Linked DNA regions of Drosophila melanogaster. The gene in region 2 interacts genetically with the main gene of each other region. Each region holds a gene or a part of one and is shown on either strand. Other genes may lie near its edges. The genes, in order: br, Sb and Drak.

The links.
Region 1: of Sb (region 2) and br, changing one enhances a phenotype caused by changing the other (phenotypic enhancement), as found in Drosophila melanogaster (one study listed by BioGRID).
Region 3: of Sb (region 2) and Drak, changing one enhances a phenotype caused by changing the other (phenotypic enhancement), as found in Drosophila melanogaster (one study listed by BioGRID).

What each region holds. Positions count from the first base shown.
Region 1 is NC_004354.4:1,608,689-1,616,712, reverse strand, and holds the start of br (broad), read right to left. Parts: upstream 4,373-8,024; 5' UTR 3,910-4,372; intron 3,057-3,909; exon of another isoform or gene 2,768-3,056; intron 1-2,767.
Region 2 is NT_033777.3:16,112,953-16,121,221, reverse strand, and holds the start of Sb (stubble), read right to left. Parts: upstream 5,062-8,269; 5' UTR 4,663-5,061; intron 1-4,662. UniProt on the Drosophila melanogaster protein: Hormone dependent protease required for epithelial morphogenesis, including the formation of bristles, legs, and wings.
Region 3 is NC_004354.4:11,490,514-11,498,328, forward strand, and holds the start of Drak (Death-associated protein kinase related), read left to right. Parts: upstream 1-2,621; 5' UTR 2,622-3,352; coding exon 3,353-3,486; intron 3,487-7,815. Other genes in the region: CG33235 (uncharacterized protein), read right to left, coding at 1-1,010.

The DNA.
Region 1 (8,024 bases), on a different chromosome or scaffold from region 2:
GCAGCGCTGTTTTACCCGACTCTTCTTTTTTTTCACTATGCGAACAGTCTGCAGTCTGCAGTCTGCAAAGGGGTGATCAATGTCCAGAGGAGAGGGATAGCCATGGGGTTAGGTCGCTTACCATCACAGTCACGGCCATTGTCACTGTTTATCACATTTACCGTTAAGCACCCGGTCTCGGGTTACCCGTTGCTTGCATAGCCCGAAAAAAGAAAAGTCCCATCTACAACGGTTTAGGGTTTATAAGATATAAGACGACCCTCGATGTCTCGCCTGTGTCTCCCAAGTCCCCCGTCCAACTTCAAATGAAAGCTGAGAACCTCTTCGCTTGAAAAAGTACACAGTAGAAGAACAAGAAGCACAAGTGAAAAACACAAAACTGTCAACGAAAGTGCAGGAAATAAACGAAAAAATTAACCAGCGATCCGACCGTTGGCAGTGCATCGAAGAAGAAGCCCAACCCATTCCCATACACATGACCATACCCCTACCCATTTCCAATCCCATTCCCCGTGACGTCCTAGTACCCCACAACTATGAACATGACACTCATGACCAACTGACTGACTGAGCAAGCCGAGCAGGAAGAAGCAGCAGGGAAAGCGCAGAGCAGAAGAAAGGGGAGTTGCAGTGCTAAGTGCAGAAGAAAACAAAGTGAAGAATTGTGCACTCCGAACGAGAATTGCTCTGGGATAAGGAAATGTATTGTTCAAAAGTAATTAAATGACGTATGTACTTTTAGGACTAAAAATCCTACTCATAAAATAGTAAGAAATGATTTCTTCAAGATGCTTTAAAAATTACTCCAAATTTGAGATTAAGTATTTTCAAAATCTTTGGCGTACTTGTCTTCCATCTTCAATTGGCTGTCTCCTGTGCCGGGGCAGAAATAGAAACATCGCGAATGAAGCAGAGGCAGGTCGCAGAAGAAAGGAGAATTGAGAATTGAGCGCGGAGAATCGAGAACGGAGAACGAAGAACGCGAGGGTGACAGAGACAGAGGCAGAGGCAAAAGGGGAAAACTGGAGAAGAGTTATCTCCTAGCCTTTGTGCCTGTCCCATTTGTTTGTCTATCCGGCTTTTGGCCTTGGAGTAACCGTTTCCGAGAACTTGGGAACTCGCCTATATGTATGTCCATGTGTCTATATGTCTATAGCGATAACTATGCACTTTGTATGTCCCTGTCCTCGTCTGTTGGCTCTTCGCATTCGCGTTTGTGTCTGATGTTTTCTGTGTTTATTTTGCAACTCCTCGACTCACCGCTCGCAATTTGCGGCGGCCTTGAATGACACGATCATTACGCTGATCGTGCTCATCATGATCATCATCGTGATCCCTATTTGTTACTGCGACGGATGCATTTGTGGCTGCTGTTGCACCCAAACAAGTGCTCCGTTGCTAGAACATGAGTCATGTGAGTGTGAGTGGAGAGCTGGCAACTGAAACTCTGGGGAGCTGCTGCTGCTCGTCTGCGTGCTTTGTCCACTTGTGGCGATGCGGCTCTCAATTGGCCGCAGTTTCCAGTTGATTCCAGTTGATTGGGCTTCAAGGCTAACGGAAGTGCTACTGGTTGCTAGTCTGTTGTGCAGTTTCTCTAACTGCCCGCTTCTGTCTCTGAGCCTCTGATTACCACTAGCCCCAAGTGGGTCGCCCAGGCCGTTACCCCGGTTCGGATGTCCTTTTACTGTTGCTCCACTCATAAGCTTCCTGGAACTCAAGCTGGCACTGGAGTGGGCACTTGTGCCCTTGCCGCACTGCATTTGCAGCATTTACAATCTGTGGCAGCAACAATTGCAGTGCGGCAACAACAAGTTATGCGCCGACAACCTTGAATGTCGGCCAGTCGCACACAGATGGCTAGCACGCACACGCAGACATCCTAATACACAGACACTGACACAGGCACAGGCACAGACACAGTACGCAGACAGCGTCTAGTCGGGGCCACCACTTTGGCGAGTCTCCTCCATCTCCATCTCCTCCGTCTCCTCTGTCTCCGCCGCCTCTGTTTTCCTAGCATCCAGCTATCCGACAGCCACCAGCCACCACATTCGCATCCCGAGCTTCACAGCACGTCCCACGTGTGTTCCCCACACCCCCAGCCCCTCCTGGCTCTGACTGTGGCTCTGGCTGTGGCGTAGTCTGGCTGCGTCTCTAGTTTCTGTCGTTTTATGCTTTTTTCGCTCTTCCTTTTTGCTAGGCACGCTTCGTTGGCTGCCTGCAATTTTCATTCAGTTTTTCTCTCGTCGCGCGACTTTCCCACCCCGCCCCCACCGCTTCTTTTCCTCCTCTTCCTCGCGTTGCAGGAATGCAGAAAAATGTGTTAGTGGAGTAGTTGCCATTACGTCACCTTGCTGTGACTGTGCCTGTGCCCATGTCCGTGTGAGTGCGCCAGTGTGCGAGTGTATGGGTGCCGGTCTTTGTGGCTTGCAGATGGGGAATGGGAATGGCTGATGATGGTTGTGGATGGGGATAGAAATGGGGACGGCGGAGTGTTGTTGTCGTTTGAGTGACTCGTCTGGGTCTCGGTCTGGGTCTGGGTCGCCCTAACAACTGGGAGAACAAAAAGAAGAAGCTGGCGTTACCACCTTTCCTACAGATCGGTGGGTGGAGCAGGAGAAGCAGCAGGAGTAGTGGGGACCCTGTCACCAAACCGCTTGACTGCGTGCCTGTCTGGCCATTTGAGTCTCGCTGTTGGCCCAGTTCCAGAAGCAAACCCATTGAAAGCAAAAGTTTCAGAAACACCACCGCTCCTCACGTGACTTACCTGCCGTAGAGCTAATCCTGAGATTGATTCCTGAGACCGATTGCGATCGAAATAGAATCAGCAAAAGCCTGAGTGGGTTGCTAAAAGGATACTATGTATATAACGAGAAACATCAACAGAAAAAAAAATATAAACGCAACGAAAACAAAATTGGCGTGGAAGCAAGCTGCTTGCGGATGTGCAGATATACAGATATGCGGATATGCGGATGCCGATATTATGTGAACTTGCGAATTCAGCGCGACTTGCACTTTGCGCGAGCGATTTACGGTACTCAGTTTGCAGTTTGCAATTCGCAATTGGCGATGAGCTGCCACACGACGTTTGCTCAGTGCGACGCTGAACAGCAAACTGCAGTTCCGCCGTTTCGGGCTGGCTTTCGATCGTTCCCGAACCCTGCCCAACCGGCCTTCGTGTTCGGCCGAGTGCAGATCCTCAGCTGCCTTCGCCTTGGCCGTGAGCTTCACGAAGCCTCAGTCTGACTGACAGACTGCAGCCGAAAAAGCGAGGAGTGGCGGGTAGCGGACAAGTGGGGAAGTGGGGAAGTGGGGAAGTGTGGAAGTGTAGAAGTGGAACAATGCAGCGCAGAGTCCAGGGGTGGAGAAGCTGAAACGGGGCTGAAAGAGGCGACTGAGGCTACTGTGCTGCCCTGCTTCCTGCAGTGCATCTGTATCTGTAACAGTATATGTGTCTGTATCTGTATATGTATATGTAGCTGCATCTGTATCTGTATCTGTATCCGTACACTCTGTGCGTCTTTGTGTGCCTTTGTATGCAGATGCACCGAAATTTTTGGACAGTTCGAAGGGAGGGGTCTAGGCCCGGTCCGTCCGCTTTTGTGACTCTTCATCAAAGTGCTAATGAGGAGAGCCGAGCCCAAAGGCAGAGAGGGAGAGAGCAGGCAGCTGCATCGGATGACTCAAATGTCCTTCTTATGGATCGGGCCACGAATCCGAATCAAATTTCAGTGTGTATCTGTACCTGCAACCGTGTGTGAGAATATGGATGTGTGTGTGTGTGTATGTCGATATAGATCTGGATGCTAGGCTCCCTCTGCCCCTAGATCAAGGAGCTTCCAGCACGTTCGGTTTGCCCTACAAAGCAAAGCGGATGGGGTCGGATGGGATGTAGGAAACCCTTACCTGGATGGTGCGGTTGTAGTTGCGCTCAGTAGGTGCATCCTTGCTCATGGCGGCGCTTCATTGGGTCGACTACTTGGGGATGCACACTGATTATTCACTTGAACTTTTGGGGCTTTGGGTTTTTGGGGTTGGCTTTCGCTTTTTCCGCTCCTGATTCTGCGATTCAGTGATTTAGCTATTCTTGGATTCTTAGATTCTTTTGATTCAAAACGCGCGCGAATCGCGCACTAGATGGTTTGCGTCCTTTGGTCTTTGCTTGGGTGCACTTGACAAAAAACACAAAAAAATAGAACAGAGGGAATTGTCCAGTCCTCGTGTGTGTGTTGGATACTGCTGTGGTGCGTTGGTGCGGTGGTGCGAGGGTAGGCGTGGGGTGGGCACTAATGCTATTCAATTCGGGCTCAAACTTAGAAATGGAAATTGAAATTGTGCGTTTAGGCTGAACTAACTTTAGTAACTGAACCGATCGAATTAAAAAGCTCAACTGAGTTCCGAAAAAATGCAGTTAAATGTGTTGGGCTTGTGCCGCTGCCCTCTGCCAGTGTGCGTGTGTATTGGTGTGTGCGCGAGTGTGTGCGTCTGCCCAATTGAATCAGAGAATTCGCTGTGCACCAGTGTTTGTGATATATATGTGTGTGTGTGTATATACTTATGCCGCCTGTATGTTTCATTCGCTTTTTTCGCTTCTTGCTTTTTACTTTTTACTTTTTGCCTTATTTGCTCGCTTTTTTGTTATATACTTCTCGTGTGCGATTGTGTGTTTCCTTCGCTTTTTTGGAGTGCAGCGACGTCGACGGCGGCGGCAGCGGCAGCAGTGCGATCTGCGATCTGCGATCTGCGTTCTGCGATCAACTCGATCCGATCGCTGCAGTTTACAGCGCTGCCTGCAGCGCAGTCGCCAAAAAAACGAGCAAATTTTCTGCGCATGCGACGGCGGCGAAGCCGAGCAAGCGAAAATTGCGTTTTTTTCGGGGGTTCCATGTGTGTGGTTGTGGTTTTTTTATTATTTTTTTTTCTGCTGTCCGTATATTCTGTTGTGTTTTCTGGTATTGCCCATTTAGAAGTTTTGTTTATTCATTGTCAGGCCGACAAAATTGGGGGAAATGAAATGCAAAGTCGTCGGCGAGCGAACGAATCAACGAGCGCCGCCCACACACCGATGCAATTACAAACGCGAATGTTTGGGGCAGATCCGCAGATCGGCAGCGGCAAATTGTAAATAGAGTGATATGGAGCGAGAGGGGTAAGGGGAATGGGAACGGGTAGGGGAATATGCAACTTTCCCCCTATGTAACTCCAAAGATACAGAAAGCGGTACATACGCACACAAAGTCGGCGGCGATCGGAGCGTTTTTTTTTTTAGGCAGAATATCGTCGTGCGTCTTCGGCTCGGAATTGCCCGATTTCACGACCCGCCTGTACCCCCTTCCCACCATACCCCCACAGAGGGTTCCAATTGAAAGTGTAGCCCACATTTCGAGCCCCATCCCAAACGCAAACCCAAATCCAAAGTCGGCCTGTTTTTAGGGCCTTCCCCTGCCTTCCCTCCCTTGCGTCACCCTTTGGAATTGCATTTTCTGCTGATGTTGGTGAAGAGTTGTTTAATATTTTGGTTACCATTACCATTACCATTACCGCATTTTATTACATGGCTCCCCTGTTTGCCATAACCCAGATTCCCATTTCCCTGCTCCCCCGCCCCACCTCCTGGCACGCACAAAGACTTAAGACCGAAGACTGCAGAGCGAAGATTTGCTGGCCCTGAGGAGAAACTGAGCGACTGAGTCTGAGAAACTTGTTGCCACTTGCATCTTGTTTGCCAGTTTTTTTTTTTGTCCGAATTTAATTGTTTTTGCAGCGTTTTTATTTTACTGCTGCATCCCCTTGTTGTTGTCGCCGATATTTTTATGAGCTGTTTTTGGTTTTTTTATTTTTTAGATTCATGCGTGGCGATTTTGGTTTTTTAATTCTGCTGGTCTCGCACTCACGTTAGCATTTTTCAAGAATTGTCTTGAGTGTTGTTTTGTTAAGGTTTCCCTGTCTGCAGTGACCTCTTGCCGATTCATAAACGTATAAATGTATCTACACGTACCATATACACAACATTACCTACGTACCCATAATGCCTTTATTGCTGCGTCTCGTTCGGTTTATGGTTGTTTCAAGATCATCGCAAATGTCACCGAGTCACAGATTAGCCAGAAAGAGGCGAGTCGCGCGGGCAGGGACCACTGTAGTCGCTCTAAGCTCCGCTCCTTTGTTGGGTCTCCGGTTTCGGGTTGGGTGCTTTGCAATTACAACCGGCATTAACCTCTAGGCGGCGCAAACGGAGTCGCAGGCAGCCAACAACCTCGACAACAACCTGACGGCGTAGACGCCGACGTCGAAGGCAGAAGGCAGAAAACAGCGACTGCGAAGGCGAAATGATCACATTGAACTTGTCGATGTCGTTTGTTCTAATTGAAACTGCAGTGGGTTAGTCACCCGCAGTCACTCGCTCCCGCTCACGCACTGGCCATCTCCATCCGCCGACGTCGATCTCTCTTCGCCTGCATATCGGGCGTATACGTAATACGCGAGGAGGTCAACGACGGAACCGCCAGCGATATAGATGGGGCGCGAGCGAGAGAGAGAGTGAGAATTAGAGACTGCCCTCGCCAGCCGTGAAACACCAGTGTTTACACGAGAAGCGCTTTGATCAAGTTCAACGCCCGCGATCCAGTCGATCCAGTGCCATTTCGGAATACAAAATACAAAATACGAATGCGAATGCGAATACGAATACGAATCCGAAATGACTGGGGAATGTGCGATCAGAGCGCGGAGGAAGTGCAGCAAATCTAAATAATGGGTTTGGGAAAGATCCCGTATCTGGCACACGAAGATAGTCAAGTGCACGAGGTCGTAAACAATATCGGCATACAATATTTTCCTAGCTTCCTCTTCGTGAAAATTACAAATACCATAGGATACCATTGGCAATGCCAACTATATGATGTATCGTACAAGTTTGCCATCGATTGGAATATATATACATATATGAAAACTCGAGGTGTTTTTAAATGCTTAGCATTGAATTCAGCGTACAAATATTTGGTTATCTACGTATATATATTATATATGTACCAGAAAATGGGATATACCGCGAAACACTGGTTTCGAATATGATTTGGAAGGGAAGCACATTGGTGGTGGAATTGATCAATACATAAACAAAGACCCTTTGATGGAAAAATCCAACCTGCATCCGTACTTTCAGATTAAGCAGCAGTACATGTACTGCCACAATAAATACCGAATCCACTAAAATGAGCACACTTACATGTCTGAATTTTCGGCTGAGTCAGGTGCATGGGATCCCCTAGAGCTGCTCTGGATTCCGGTGGGTGATCCGACTCTGGCTGAGATCCTGGAACTCCGCACGCCACACACTCTCACTTTTACTGGGACAGTTTGTCAGGGTTTTTGTTGCGGTTGCTCGCTACTCTATCGGTTGGTTCAGATTGCATTTGATAGTATTTTGATTCGTCCCCGGATCGACTGGTTTATCACTTGATTTTTGGGTGTTCCTATTTTCTTGACTGGCCTTCACCTCGATTAGATTCTAGATTTGATTTATTGCACAACTTGTCATCTCTGCGGTACACCAAACAAAAAGAAAACAATCAACAATCGGCGCGGTGGAAACGGTGGAAATGCCTAAAATCCCGAGATGCTGTCCTTGCCGCATTAACAATCACTTGCAAAAAAAAACAAACTACACGACAGAACAATACACACGCACTCAGTTATCTTTGAGCTGTGCTGAGTTTGTGTCTTGGCATCCGATTAGAGTCGAGCTGAGCTGGGACGTCAGTTGGGTTTCAGTTTCAGTTTCAATTTCCGTTTCCGCTGGTGGCTGATTTGGGTTTTGGTTCGCGTCGCAACACGCGCACGTAACGAGCAACAAACAGCAACTAACGTTATTTTTAAAACCCAACTCGATTCAAGTCCAAGTCGCAATCGCAACGGCCAGGGCCGCTGGCAGCGACGCCGGCTGCGGCAGAGCGGCAGCAGGACCGGCAGCGCCAGTAGCGGCAGGACCTGGCAAGGAGCAGCCGAAGCGCCGCCGAAGC
Region 2 (8,269 bases):
TCCTGTTTCGCATATTTCGGATATTCTAGGGGTTGCAAAATGAGATTAAATATTTTGGCTGGTACTATAACTTGTCTCCGAATAAAGATTTTGCAGATCAATGAAATACAAGCTTAATAGAACAGAACTGAGTGCAATATTGTAAGTCTGCACTTAATATTTCATAGTGAAATTCCCTTTAATTATATAAGGAAAAAACTAAATTCTTTAAACTTCCTAATCTTCAAAGGCATGAATAACTTTTCCAAGAAGTCCCTTGAAATGCAACTTGCTTCTCAGTAAAACGTGAACACAGTCGCATCCCAACTAACTTGGCAATGGCAACAACTTCATTTGCCGCTGCGGCTGGCATCTATTTTTATTAGCCAGGCAATTTGGCCAAAGGCAACAGGAAAAATAATAAAATAAGTCTGCGACGAGAAGATGCGAAGGAAGGAGTCTATGCCGGATGATGGCAAGACCTCAATCCCAGAAAACCCAACCGTTGGGACACAAAAAAAAAAAAAAATAAGTAAAACGGTTTCTGGAGAGACACCTGTCATGAGAGCCTCTTAACAACGGCCATCAGCGGAGGCAGCAACACCTCTATTCAAATAAGCCACAGACTCAGATTTAGGATCGCGTCCGTATCGGTGTCGCCACTTGTCGAGTGGACTCGCCGTGGACTTTAGTGGTTCGCAGCAGTCTGTGGTCCATGTTACATGGTCCGTTGTATTTTGTCTGGGCCATGCGTGGTCCCATTTCCCAGCGAAAACCACTCGCGGTTGACCCAATGCTAAGCGGGCTAAGTTGGACAATGGCCCACAGCGCAGTTTAACGGATGCTTCCTCATCGTCGTTGCGGTGAAGAACATAAAGGGTGGAACGGGTCTGGAGGCATGTTGCTCCATGGATCGCGGATCGCGGATCGCCACTCGAACTCGTTCCGCGGAAACGTGTTTGCTGTTTGCAGTTTGGTGCCTGGTTGACCACCACACGAGCGACCAGGCCAGGCCAACCAAGTCCAAGTCGCGTCTTGGACCAGTTGCATATGGCCGGCCAGTTGGGTTGTGCCCCGAAGTGTGGCCACAAATCGAATTGTTGTTAATTAATAACAGCGAAACACCTTTGTCTGTGCCCCATTCTCAGTTGCCTACCCCCCGCCCCCAATCCCCCTTGCTGCCACAAACAGGTGCTCCTAATTTGGGGTGGCGCCCCAATGTTGACGCCCTTTTCTGGCTCGGTTTCGGTTGCGAATTACTGGCGGCCAGCTTGTTAGCATGGACTTTTGGCCACAAAGTCCAGTTAGCCAAGCACTCCCAGTCGCGCAAATTCTATCGCCATCTCTCTCCCCGGTTAATTTGTGGCATAACTCGTTTCGTAATTGAGAATTACATTAGATTCGTGACGAGTGCGTGCAACAGAACTAGTTCCACCAGCAGCTACTATTGAGTCATTTGCCAGCACAGAAAAGAAAACAAGAAAGACGGTAGTTGGGCGGTATCGAAAAATCTAATACCTTGTACTAGCATGCATATAAAAATAAATTGTTTGCACAATTATTGACTCCATGTATATATATACACAAGAGAAAGCGCTGTTTTGGGAATCATTTGTTGTTACAGAAGCATTTAAAATATTTGTCCCGAAGTTACCTCTACTAGGGTATGTCATAGTCGTGGCTACCAATTTGGCCAAGATGAGCCGAGCGTATGCCAATACTTTTACGTGTACCTGGTGCTCTCCATTCCTTCTGATGATCAACGGCTGATAGTCGGTACCCAAACATATCTATATTTTATTGCACGCAATTTCCTTTCAGCTCAATTCGTTTGCCAAATCATTTCCCCAGTTCTAGGCAAAGATTTTGAGTGCTCCTCCAGCCGCTCCTGAAGATAATCAGCGTTCGTAGAGGAGCCTGAGCTACCAAAACGAGCTACCTGATTGCCCCTGGAGTGAGAGTGCGGAATGGAATGATAGCTAAGTGCCAAGTGGATCTCGCTCTGTGTGGGTATTAGCTTGGGTAATCGGAGATGGGGCGCAGCCCTCTTAGGAGGAGGGGAACTATGGCAAAATGGAACAGCAGAAAGGTTGATAGAAGCTGCCGATCGGAGATAATGAGGGCCTGAAGGATACAACGCCATATAACGCAGATAGGTATAAGATCTGATTAGATGCAAGGGTTTCAAAGAAGCCTCCTATGTAAGGTGCCTAATGGTAAATGTATTTGTAATAAGAAAAAGGTGTTACTAATGTCGAATGTAAAAGTAGTAAAAACTGCTGACAAGGCAACTTATACCGCATCGCATTGAAAACATTCCGACATTTTCATCTTGGTTTCCTACCGCAAAGTGGAAGAAGGCAGTGGTTTGCAAATCAAATCGTATATAAAATCATCCATCAATGGACAGCTAACACTATCGGTTTGAACTTCCTGTGTGCCAGTGGCTTTATCTAGCTGCATCCACCACCCTAGCCACCTTTATTACGGCTAACCACTGGCCACTTGGATATGGGCCGCCAATTGATTCCATTGCTAATGACTGCTAACGGTTCCACAGACACTTGCCGCAGCTTCGATTGCGGCTGAGGAAAGGAAGCCAGCGGTTACCGCTGCAACGCCCAAGTCGCCGGGAGCCTCTGCCATCCACAGATCTCGACGCACTTCACCTGCGGCACAGTGAGAACGATCGGGAAGGATCACTGATTGCTCAAATTATTATTGATCGGTTGTAAGAAATATTTGATGATCATATAAAAGAATAAGAATTACTTTGAACTACTAGCTAATTAAAAAAAAAATTAATTAAACTAGTTGGATTCCCAATTACTCAACAAAATACACAAAATAGGAAGTAGGATTAGCCAACGCTGCGTATGAGTAATAAAAATAGTTCTGATTCTTCAGTGAGATTCCCCTGGGACAAACATTTACATTCCCTATCTAACTTCACCTGTTCTATCAAATCCCTTTTAAGATCCTCCTTCTCGAGGCCCCACTGTCGCTGGGCAGCAGCACGTTTGCGTGTGGCTTCCGCGGCCGCCCGTCCAAGATTGATTGGGCACTCGTTTATTGTCAGTGGAGCTGGGCTTATCGCATCAGTGCAATTTGTTTGCGCCGCTGCTGCTGGCGGTGGTGCAGATTCCCCTCAACGAGAGGTGCTGGCGCAACAAGTGGGTTTGTGGCCGGACACCTGCGACCGCCCCTTTTGCCTCACAGAGAGCAAAGGGGTAAGGATGAAGGACGGTGTAGGGTGTCCTCCACTGCCAATGGACTCGCACGCAACGAGGCTTAATGACCCCGCAAGCCTTAATTAAGGCCCAAACTAAAACACTTTGATTGATTTACGCTTGCCAACTAACTGCCCGAGGACAGGGACAGTGATATGGGGATGGCCACAATTAAGAGAGCGGTGGGGATGGAAAACGAATCCGGCTTCTTGCATAATTACCCCGTAAGACTCAATTAACTGTAAATTAAAGAAAATGCTCGCTTACATTATGGCTGCACTTAATGTCGCGTGTGATAATGGTGCAGATCTTCTCTGGCACTCAGTGCGACTTTGCGAATCTACTCAAATTGGGTAGCCGAAGCGGAAGATACTTCAACCAACATGTGAACCCTTGTTGATATTTTTGACACTTGTATATATATTTGATATATACCTTTATTTACTCACATAATATCATTGATGAAAAGAAAATTTTTGGTTTTCTGATTTTGTGAAAACACTTCAAAATGTTTGAAGATGGCCCAACGTGTTGGAGATGGTTTTTGCATTTTAAAATTGCACTGCCAGCCGATTGGTAATTATACCCGTAGAAAGGGTACATTTTAAGATCATCGCAGAGTAAGAGCATTTTTTGTTGCTTTTGATGCTTTTGTTTTTTTGCTGCCACAGCGGCAATGCCACTGCCCACCCCCCGCGCTCTCACACATGGAATTAGAGCGGGTAAAAATGTACGAGGAGATAAAAGAGAGGCGAATTAAGTAACAAGGCACTTAACGTTAACACTTAACAAGGCAATGTCGTGGCTGTCTTGGCTGAGGCCTGAAACCTGCGCCATGCACCGTGCACGGGGAAGTTGGCCATAAAAGTTGGAGCTGGAACTTTGGCCGGGACGGGAAGCCGGAGGAACGAAATGCCATTAAGTGTCATTGCTCATTCCGGCGAAAGATTGATATCGGGCTTTAAATATGCGTACCGCGAAAGTATGGGATGGGATCGGATAGGATAGGATAGAATGGTACATCAACACTGTCACGGGGTCGCCAGAAATGTGAGTGACGATGGTGGTGACTGCAGATACCCGAAGTGCATGGCCAAACTTCCCATAAAAGCAGCAGGCGAAAGACATTCCGAACGGAAGCAACTGCCCTGTAATTACGTATTTTTCGAGGAATGAATTATATGCCTACAATTCACATACAGCATTCTCAGGGATAATCACTCTTTTATTTCAGCAAACATAAACCTTAAGTATGAACTCTTTTATAAGTGAAACTAAGCACCTATCATGACGAAATTGGTTCCTCTTTTTTGTATGCCAAAATGTTATAATAGAACTTTTGTAGCCTCAAAAGAATAGATTTGCATATATGTATGAAACACCTAACCGAAAACTATGATTGATTGCAGCTTTGCAAACTGAAGAACCGCAGAGCTGGCATCCAAATACATACCAAAAATCTGATCGCCAGGTGGGGCCGCCAAAGTTGGCCCAGAGTGAACTCCAAGCTGAGGCTGAGAGTGGCAGCCAAAGGCAGTTTGCGGTTAAAGCGGCTTATCACATTAGCACACTTCCAGACATCCAGACATCCAGACATCCAGACTTGCGGACTTACAGGCCTTTGAGCGAAGACAGAAAGACCCGAACGTGGCTAAAAGAGCCGCTGGAGAACCGTTAGCGATCGCGACATTCGCATCCTGCTTGGGATCCTTCGCACACACGCACACGTAGAACTGAACTGACTCAGATATATCTTCGTACTGGGTGGAGATGCTGCCGAGATATACGAGTACGAGTTCGAGTACCGGCCGGCTGCACTTAACTCTTCGCCTGGACGAGATCTTAACAAAACTAACTCGATCGCCATTGATCGGACGCATTTCAACTTAAAGTCAAGTGGAGAAGGCGCTGACGTCGAAGTCGACGGCGGCGTCCGCGTCGGCAGCGAACTGCATTCCCAAACCGAGTCGCGTTTTACTCACCAAATAAATAAGACAGAAACAGAAACAGAATGATACAAACACAAAAAACAATAAAAAAAAAAAAACTAAGCCAAACCGAACTGTGTGCAGAATTTATGGCTTGGGCTGTGGCCGTCCGGAGAAATGCTCTACAAGGCGGGCAGTCAATAGATCTTGGGTCTTCCCAATGAATCAATAGCTTTCCCGGAGCCACAAAATGAATATCGCTTGCGTAAGACAAAAGAAACTGGAGAAACCCGTCTGAATTCAAGATCAATCTAAAAGGTCCCAAAGAAAGTGGCGCTTGAGTGGGGGGACCAGACCACCCTATTCAAGAAGTGATGGAAAACTTAAGATCGCATACGGAAGATCTCGGGTAACAGTTGCTATTGTCTGCATTTGGAGGAAGAATTTAGAGATCTCATAGAAATCTTAGAATGCTTCTTTAATTATTTTAGAGATAATAATGCAAAAGTATTTAAAATTTTCAGCAATTTATTATGTCCTTTTTTTCTACTTTATAAAGTAGTAACTTATACAGGAAGCTCAATTGGCCCCGCAAATGATTCAAACAGCAGATTAAGGCCTCCTTCGCAATAATTCACAAAGGAAAACCTGAATGAATTCCATCCACGTCATAACTCCAATACTTTGTGTTGATCCTCCGTTGACATTATTTATGGAAGCTCTTAGAAAACCGAGGAGCCCAAAATACCTCCATGTAGCGCACAACAAAGTGTGGAAGAAAAGCAACGTTCTGCGGTGCTGCTCATTTTGTGTGGTTGCATGGCTGTGTTGCAGATGGAGCAGGTGGAGCAGTGGCAGGGGCAGGGGCATGGGCAAGAGCAACGGGGCAGCAGCACAATCGAGTTTCCACCAATGTGAATTAAATAGTTGGCCGAAAGAGAGGCGACAGAGAGCTCAAATTCCGCTAAAAACGCAGCAAATCCCAGACGATGGCCACAAAGTAATGGAAATATTGAGAATTCCTTAGCCGCCACTTCGACGGGGTCTCCATCTCGGTTAGAGTCTGGGTCTGAGTCTTGGATGTGGCATAGCCGTAACTCAAACCGACCATTAGAAACGAACATTAGCAGAAGACGTCTAAGAGCTGCAAATGCTGCAAAGGAAAAAGAACTAACGAACCTTGACAATTAAGTTTGCGCCACTCTGCCAAACCCAATTGGAATTCAATGTGCATGCAATGGCAGAGGCAGAAGCAGAAGCAGAAGCAGCAGATGCAGCCAGCAGGGATACCGAGATGGAGGAGGATGCGACTCAGACGGAGCAGGAGGTGCATCTGACGTTGATGATGCTCCCCGGCCTCCTCATCGAACCGAAGCCGAAGTCGACAGTCGCACAAAAACCCATACTCCATACCCCCAAACTCCAAGCTAAAAACGCCAAACTCCCGACTGGAGTCGCTTCGCTGTCTGTCGCTTGCTAATTCCCCAACAAATGTTTGCTGTTGCTTTGCTGTTGGCGGCTTCTGCAACATGTGTTGCAACAAATCGGCAAGCGACTGCAGCTGGAAAGTCGCGTGATGATGCGCCAAGTGGAGAGGAAAAATCTCGTTAAAGGTCGTGTCACAAATTCTGCAGCACTCAGAGGCGAAAAGGGGACAACGCCAAGTGCCAAAAAGCAGAAACAACAACAACATCAGTAGCTAGTTGCAACAAAGGCTGCAGCAGCAGCAGCAACGGCAATAGCAGATGCAAACTCGTGCCGCTGCTAACACAATAAATTTTCTCTTTCAGCCCGGGCGAATCTGGCGTTGAACTGCGTACATGGGTGGCCAAGTGATGCTCCTCCTCAGGCTCCACTTGCTGCCTCTCTTGGACGACAGTAAATGGCTACAGAAACAATCTGAATAAATTTGTCGCTAACTCTGGAGTTAGTGGTCCACGGGAGCGGGTGGAAAATTTATGAACCCGTTGATAGGCTGATGGAGATCTTTCCGGGAAATATTTTGATGGGACGTTGTGTTGGCCGTGGTCGGATTAACCTATTGAGTAATTTATAGCAGTGGGTGTGGATTAAAGATTTCGCAATGTATTTGTAGTTAATTTATTTGAATTTCAGTTTCTTATCTCTAATTTGCAAATCGTTTATTTAATCTCTATGGTTTTCTTAATATATACATACCTCACCATATGCGGACTACCATACGCTGTTAAGTTCATTGAATTAACCTTTTTCCTGTCATTACGCCTTTAAAATAATAAGCAGGCCTTATCTATGGGCTAGCTAATAATACCAGGACGGAACCTAACACAGTCTTGGCTTTTAATAGCCCACCATTTAATGTAAGCCATTTCGTTTGATTTCAGCTTTGAATCAACCCCACCCATCAATATTATCCTTAATACAGTGCAAATTCCGCCTTAAGTACTTGCCATTAAGCATCATTGCAGTAACTTTGTCTTGGCCATAACTCGGCACCGAGTACCCCCATCGGGGTCTTTAATCTCCCGCGGTCCGGCTGCCGTCAACCGGGCCCCATCCTCCAGACTTTCCACGTCCGCAGCTTCATGCGTGACCCCGATTCTCACAAGACTGGAAATGTGTCGGATTGGGAGGTGGGGATCTGTTTGGATCGGGATTGGGTTAGGGATATGGATGGGCTGCGATAAGCGATCACGGAATGAGGGATAACTGGTCGGTTAATGAATGGGTTCGCAATAATTGATGCCACTTTAAATTGGCCAAATGTTGATGGCCCGGCTGTGGCTGCGAGAACAGCCGAGAACAGGAAGGGAAAGTTGGCCAAGGGACTGGAGGCTGTCCCATCGCAGCGAGTGTTGCAGGTGATACTGGGACATGGAGCTGGAGTGATATTTCAACCTTTCTCCCGCTACCCAAAAGCGAAAACATTTTGCGAACGTGATTGGGGATGTGGATGTTTGGACATTGCCTTTTAATCAAGCCCACATTGCGAGCCAAGTGATTTTATGCCTTGCATTTCAGCATTTCAGAGCTCACTGACCAATTTAGCCGGCTGAGCACAAAATTTCACCGCAAGATCATCGCACTTGGCACGCAACCCGAAAGCCGGGCCCAAAAAACCCAACTCCCAACTTGGCACTGGACGCCACTGGA
Region 3 (7,815 bases), on a different chromosome or scaffold from region 2:
TCTTTGTTGCTATTGACGCCTTGATTACGTTGGCCTAGCAAATCCAGGACACTCTTATTATTGGAATTACGATTCACTGGCTCCGGCAAGGAGGCCCCGATATGAGATTTCTTTCCCTCTCCGGGTGGAATAATGTCCTTCGTCAAAGTAAAATTCCTTTTCGAGCTTGGAATCATTTTCTTATCTTTGCTGGTAGCACTGCTTTTAAAGTCTGGAATCTTTAATTCATCTTCGCAAGAACTATCACCATCGCTGGTATCACTGGTCTCCGGGCCTGGAGTGAATATATCATCTCCGAATGAACTATAATCATCACTGGAATCACTGCTGTCCGAGCTTGAAATCATCATTTCATCTTTGTTGCTATTGACAGCTACGCCCTGGGCACCGAATCTGCTGCCTTGATTACGCTGGCCTTGCAAGTCCAGGACACTCTTATTATTGAAATTACGATTCACTGGCTCCGGCAAGGAGGCCCCGATATGAGATTTCTTTCCCTCTCCGGGTGGAATAATGTCCTTCGTCAAAGTAAAATTCCATTTTGAGCTTGGAATCAATTTCTCATCTTTGCTGGTAGCACTGCTTTTAAAGTCTGGAATCTTTAATTCATCTTCGCAAGAACTATCACCATCGCTGGTATCACTGGTCTCCGGGCCTGGAGTGAATATATCATCTCCGAATGAACTATAATCATCACTGGAATCACTGCTGTCCGAGCTTGAAATCATCATTTCATCATTGTTGCTATTGACAGCTACGCCCTTACGCTGGCCTTGCAAATTGTCCACATCCACTTCCTCCGGGACACTCAAATTATTGAAATTACGAATCACTGGCTTCGGCGTCGGGCGCTTCCTAGGCTTCTTGGTGGTCACGCTGCCCCCTCGATCGAAAATGACATTCTCCAATGTGAGTCTGCCTTCAGAGACTTGCGGGCAAAATGTCCTTGTCGCGTCCGAATCCAGGCGGACAAGGTTCTTGTCGCCAAGCAGTTTCTTGCTGAAATTCATGGTTATCTTTCCGATATGGCAATGCGAATGATAAAAGTAATTTGGTTTCCTTGTGATGAAATAAGAAATAATATAATATACAAAATTATATAATTTTATCCGCTGTGACGATGTTACCTGGTGAACGACTTTTTTAAAAAGAGAATGTATTCAGGGAATGAGCTCCAAATGTCAACTTTCAGCTGTCAAATCCACACTTTCGAAGTGTAAGGGTTACTTTAAATTGTGGTTGTATCCAATAAAGGGAATTATACAAAATAAAATATTTTGTTTCCACTTGAATAAAAGTCGATGCAATGTGTTAAATATCAGATCTATTATACTGCTCACACATGAACAGGACATTGTATACAAGATAATGTTGTTTGCCTTATAAATAACAATTGTAATTTGTAACACCAAATTATGCGTTAAAACGAAACTACTTCGTTCCTGCTTGTTAAATTTCCACCCAATTTTTTGGGGTTTCTCGCGATCCGATTTTCTATTTTCGCGGTGGCCAAGCATTTTCCCTAGGTCAAAAGCCGGATCTGCTAAACTTGAATGGCTGCCAAGAGGAGTTTTTGGCGAGTTCGTGGCAAGAAAATCCACCGCCCGACCAAAAGAAAAATAAAATCATTTTGTAAAAAAAACCTAAGCAGATCCGGAGACGACAACATTATTAATAGACGGATGCTAAAGGTTTTTGCACTTGGTTTATTTCTGGTGCTCCGCATTCCTGAGATGCCGTCGTGGTGACAAAAATATATGCAACGCACACGAGAAATGCAAACATAACGCATATCCACTGCATATCCCATCCAATCCAATTACACTGAAAGAAATTAGCAAAGTTATGATTTTTAAACAAAGTAGAAATGGCGTGGTGTAAAATAGGTCTATTCCAGAGAGAGGGATTGAAATGTAGAAAAAAAGTTTTCTATATTTAACTATACTTAACTATATATACTTAAACTTTATTTAAGATCTTAGTAATGATTCAGAGTGCACGAGAAATGTGCACTGGCTTGCAAGTGGAGCACACACACCTACACACAAACGGTGGGAAAACAAGGCGGGAAAATTTGCAGGGCGAGAAAAAGCCAGGGAACTGCAAGCAAGCATAAATATAAATATACATTTAAAATTGAGAATCCAATGAAGACGCGAGGTGCCAACTATTTGCGGGCTGTGTTATGCCCACACGCCCCGATAACAGGCGCCACCCAAAACGCACATTGCATCCCAAAAATAATATCTTTATTACGTTTCCACCAAATAACAATAATTGGTAAATTGAAAACACGCTTTGAATCGGCCGCAGTGTGACCATGTGCTTTCCACCAAACTTAACATTGGAAACGTCATATAACTACTTTTGTAAGATGGTGTTCATATAACTGTCTACTTAGTTTCACATTAGTTATTATTACTGAAACGAAATTTAATTTTTACTTTTTCTGCCTTTTCTCAGCTTAAATTATAAACAAAACTGCACTGTTATAAACCTAGTGCTGTTAACAGACTTTCGGTATTTTCTGGTATTTTTCACAGTGCCTAGCGTTAAACGTCCGGCAACAGAGTGACCAGAGACACTGGCAAGAAATACCAGGCCCCAGCAGCAGAGTTATTTTCATGGTGTGCGTTCACTTTAAGCGAACGCGAGTAATTGAAATTTCAATCCGCCAACGAACGGTTCGTGCGCGCTGCTCCGCTGCGAGTTTCTTGTACCTCCGTGCCTCCGCAAAGCGAAACACACAAAAAAAAAGAATAAAGCCTGGCCAAAATCTGCGAGCCGTTTTTTCGCATAAAACCCTTTTTGAAACGAGCAAGCGGAGGAAGAAGAAGAAGAGAAGCTGAGACGGAGTTCTTCGGAGAGAACGGTACTTAACTGGCGAAATACCGAAAATAACAAAAACAAAAACATAACCAGCAGCAACAGCATCACACATACATACACACGCGGGAATTTTTTCGGGCCTCTCTTTGCGCGCGTGTGTCTGTGTGTTGCAGTTGCATAGTTTTTGCTTCTTTACTTCTTTTAATTCATTAGTGTGATTTTTTGTTTTTGCTGTTTTTGGGTTGTACTGGAATCTGGTCTCCTTCTCCCTCCCTGTCGCTCTCCCGCGCGCAACGTATTCCGCTGCATTATATCGAAGCGTGTGTTTTTATCACTAAACTACAATTTTTTTTGGTTCTGTGCAGTTGAGATTCGACCCTCAAAGAAATAACAAGTTACCATTAAAAAAAATAAAAGCCAATCAAACGAAGGATTAAATACAGCCAAAAATCGAAAGAAGATTCGATCTTCAAACACACTACACACACACAAACACCACAATCCCCCCCCACACACACACAAAATGTTCACCGAAAAGGGAATTTTTCCCATTGGCGACGGACTTTTGGATGTGGACGCCGATCGGCTGAAGGGACTCCTCGTCTCATGTCCCGACATCAACGAGATCTACGAAGTGGAACAGACGCCGTTTGCCAGGTGAGTTTTTAGTTTTCTGTTTTGAGTTTCGCGCTATTATTCTCCTTTTCCCTTGCCAAAAATTCAACCGAAAATAAGAAGCACAAAAACAAGATTTTTGCATCTCCACACTGCAAAAAAAAATCAGTTAGAAAGGAAACCATATAGATAATTTAGCTCTTTTGGGGAATTCTGGTCAGAACCATAGATACAGTCCATACCGCAGATATACATATGTAACTAACTATAAAGTTCTAAGCTAGGAGTTTTACTTACTTGTTTTAGGTACTTGAATACCATAAATCTATACATATGTGTATCTTTTCTTGATCGCCTTATTTGTTTTACTAAGCTCGATCGTTTCTTTTTCGTATCATAATATTTTGAAATGTAATCCAAGATAAATATACATGTCTCTATGCATAGTTATGCCAAAAATAACCATATTGAAAATGATCTTCTAAGTTTTTACAACCTAAACATACTTTGCGATCACAATTGAAGGTAACTGCTACAAAATCACACCTAACATCAGTGAATTTATCATCGTTTAATAGATTTGTTTTCCTTGTTTTTGCGAATGCAGCTGCTAAATTCAATAAAAAATAAAAGCGGAATCCAAAAACCACCGAAACAAAGCTAAAAATGTTAAAGAAAGTCAGTGGCGAGTCTGTTTTATTTTTTCTGAAAAACTTCTGCGTCTCAAAACTTGTTTTATTTACTTTTTTCTTCTTTCTTGCGACTTGCCTGTGTGTGTGAGCTTCTACTCAACACACACATGTGAACGGGAGACAAAAAGAGAGTTTTGTGTGGATAACGGCACAGTGGTTTTGTTATGAACATCGAAAGATTCGTAAACAAATACGTATCTATTCAGTACGAATTGGTTTTGAAAATAGCTCTGAATTTGTACGCTTTAAAAATGCGCATTTTTAGATACGAATTTGCTGACAATATGGTCAGTTTCGCGATTGTCCTTATGCACTGTGTGTGTATCAAGAGATTCATTTTATTTACTTACCTGATTTCGTTTCAAGGGTTCTGCCCTTCAGTTAATTATGTGGAATTTTAGATTTGTGCAACAACCACTGTGCACCTCGTTCTGCTTCTTCCTCTTCTTGAGTTTCTTTGCCTGCTTCCCTCTTCCGCATCTACCTCCCTCTCCATTCATCTTCCTCATTCTGCTCCCTGCATTTTCTCCCTTTTTTCTCACTTCTCCAAAGAGCAGCTGTTACCGTTTGCTGGCGAACTGACCCTCATGCACCGTCGTCTCTTTCTACGTCCCTCTCTAGGCCCTCTCTCTCTCACACCATATGGTTGGGACAGCACTATCTCTTTCTGCCAAGCATTGCTCTCCTTGTCTCGAATGCCCTTTGACTATCATTATTTTCAGCTAGATTTGCATTTTGTACCCTTTTTCATCATATACATATACATTTGTATATTTTTTTCGCATTGAGCCGTGTTTTTTTGCCTTATTAGTTTTGCATTTCATCGTTTCTTTAAAGTTCTTCAGAATCCGCCAACCACAACACCCACACCCCCTCTTCGCCCCACGAAGGTCGTTTGCTTTCGAGCGTTCCGTGGTTTCATGCTGCCCGGTACCCCATTTATCATCATATTCCCCCCATTCTTGATAAGCATTCTGTTATCAGCCAAAAAAATTACAAAAAAACGAAACGAAAATTAATAATAAAACGTAAATCCCAATCGATGTTTTTGAGTTTCGTAAGCAGTCAGGCGTATGAAATAAAATTTTTCTGTCACATCTATCGATGGTGGTTCTCAAATCGTAATTCTTATCAGGAAGCCGTTTGTCCGAGGTGTTTGTTGTAAAAACAAAAGCGCAGTGTAAACCACCGTATATGAGATGGAGGAAATATTTGACAAAAGTGGCTTCGAAAATACAAACATTTTTAGAGGCGTACATATCGCATTAATGTGAAATGCGATCGCAACAATTAACTGTAATTTTCTAATTTAGTTGTTTGCCAAAAATTTAATGGATTCAAATTTGTTATAATAAATTCAACTTTCTCGTAAAATGTTATGCTTTGCTATTTGTTGTTTTGCTGATCACTTTGAAGTCTTCAAATTTCTCTATTTTATAACAGATTTGATTTTGCTAATGTGCCTTTATAATAATGTTTTATTTATTTAATACCATTTGGTTTGTATCTTTACACTTATAATGTCATATAATGGTGTTTTCTCCATTCAAGTTGTAAGTTCTTTGGTCCGTAATTTATATTCATTTTATTCTCCCTTGGAATTCCGTTTGCCAAAATTGCCTTATTTAGCAGAACTAAATGTTCTTCTGCAGACGGGTTTAATTTTTCCTTGGCAATAGTGCTCCTTTTTCACCTTTTCTTTTGTTGGCCATTTCGTTTTGGTTTCTCATGATTCTCTGGTTCCGTATTCGCTCAATACCAACTTGTTGCTGCTGCGTTTGCTTTCGTTTCACGTTTTGTCTTCACTTTGTTGAATTCATTCTTATATACATTATACCTTATACTTAATATTTCTTGTTGTGTTTTTTTTTTTTTGGGTCGTTTGCTGCTTTATCAACGCATCATTATTAAACGTTTCGCCGAAGAAATGCCTTCTTTTGGCTACAAAAAAGCTTTAATTTTTTATCAGTCGCAAAAAGATAAGGAAAACGAGGGGCGGAAGGTGATTTAATGGAGGGGAACTTTTTTTTTTGTACCGCTCGTTTGCAGTGCCATAAATATCATTAAAATCTTCCGCAGAATTGGGATTTGGCTAAAAGTGTTGCAACAGTAGAGAAAACGGTACAAGTTAAGCTCTAACTTTTGTTGTGACAGATTTACTATTCAATTTAATATAATATAATATAATTAGGCACAGAAAGTGTCTTACATACAAATTGAAATGAAGTTGCTAATCGCGCAACACATGCAATTTATTTAAATTAACCCCCCTATGTCACAATGTTTAACCCTAATGACCGACCAGTGGAATATAAGAAACTTGCCAAAATGGAAACATTTGACAATTGCAAGCCGTCAATCAATGCGAATGGGAAATAATGGTGGGTTGGCGAGGGGGGTTTGGTGTATCGCGGGGGGATTCCTGATTTCTGCAAGTCGAAATGCCAAAAAATATTGGCCAATTGGGCGACGCACATACACAATGTTTCTTATAACTTTTTGAGCTGTGCATAATTCGACTTGGATGGATGGGATGATGATATATGGAAAAATAAAAAATCAACTTGGTGCTGCTGCTGGCTTATGGCCCAATTTATATGGTAAAAAAAAAAAAATTGAAGAAAAAGAAATACAAATTGACAGCGAGACAAATGAAGTTGTGGACACCGGAGTTTCAGATTTGCTAGCTGCTTTTTCAGTTGTCTTTGGCCGTGTTTGCCTGTTAGCCCATTTGGTTGTTGGACTGTTGTGGCTGCCACAAGACTTCACAAAGCCCACTTGACTTCAGCATTGGCACATTGTCCAGTTTTTATTCGTAGCCCGGAGTTTTTGGCCTTTCAATTGGAAATTAGGACGCACATTTTGTGGGCAGTCGAACGCTTGCATAATGGAAATTTTATTCAATTTTTTGTGCAAACTTATAATGTGTGTACATATGAACATATATAATATATATATATATATATATGGTTTTTGCCAGAGAATGCGAATCAATAATAAATAACAATAATTACAATTCAATTGAAGCTCGCACACGAGGAAAGTCACACCTTTGGGAGGCTTTTATATATTTATTTATTTGGATTGAGCTTGGGATACGTGTATATTTGTCCATTTATTATTCACATGTCTGAAAATTGTATGTATGTATATTTGCCTAGGCGACGATTATTAAATATTGTATTCCCCAAGCAAATTCTTTAATGTCTCTATTTACCTATACTCCATACTTTTTGGTAAATCTCTTGACAAATATAATATAATATAATGCACGAAATTTCATCGAGTGTCAAATGTTGCGCAGCCAGACTTACCCACTGAAAAGCGAATTTTCCCCCAATGCTTTTGGCCCATTTTGTTTATTTTTTTTTTCTTGTTTGGGGCCTAACATAACCTCATTGAGTGTGACTGACGTCACGGGAAAATCAACCCCCAGAATCCCAACCAAAGCAAGAAAAAGCCCGGGATAATGGAAAAGTGGTGGAGCAAGCGGCCCACACAATAGCAAATACATACATAAGCAAACAGCTGATAGATGATGACTTTTGGGCTCCGTTTTCTCTGGACTCACAAACAAATTTGTGCGTGGGCGAGGTTCAGCCCTTGGGAAAATAACATAAAAGCCTATTATGTAGCCACCCTCTTCGACAGCACACGAACATCATTTATTCTCCAGTCA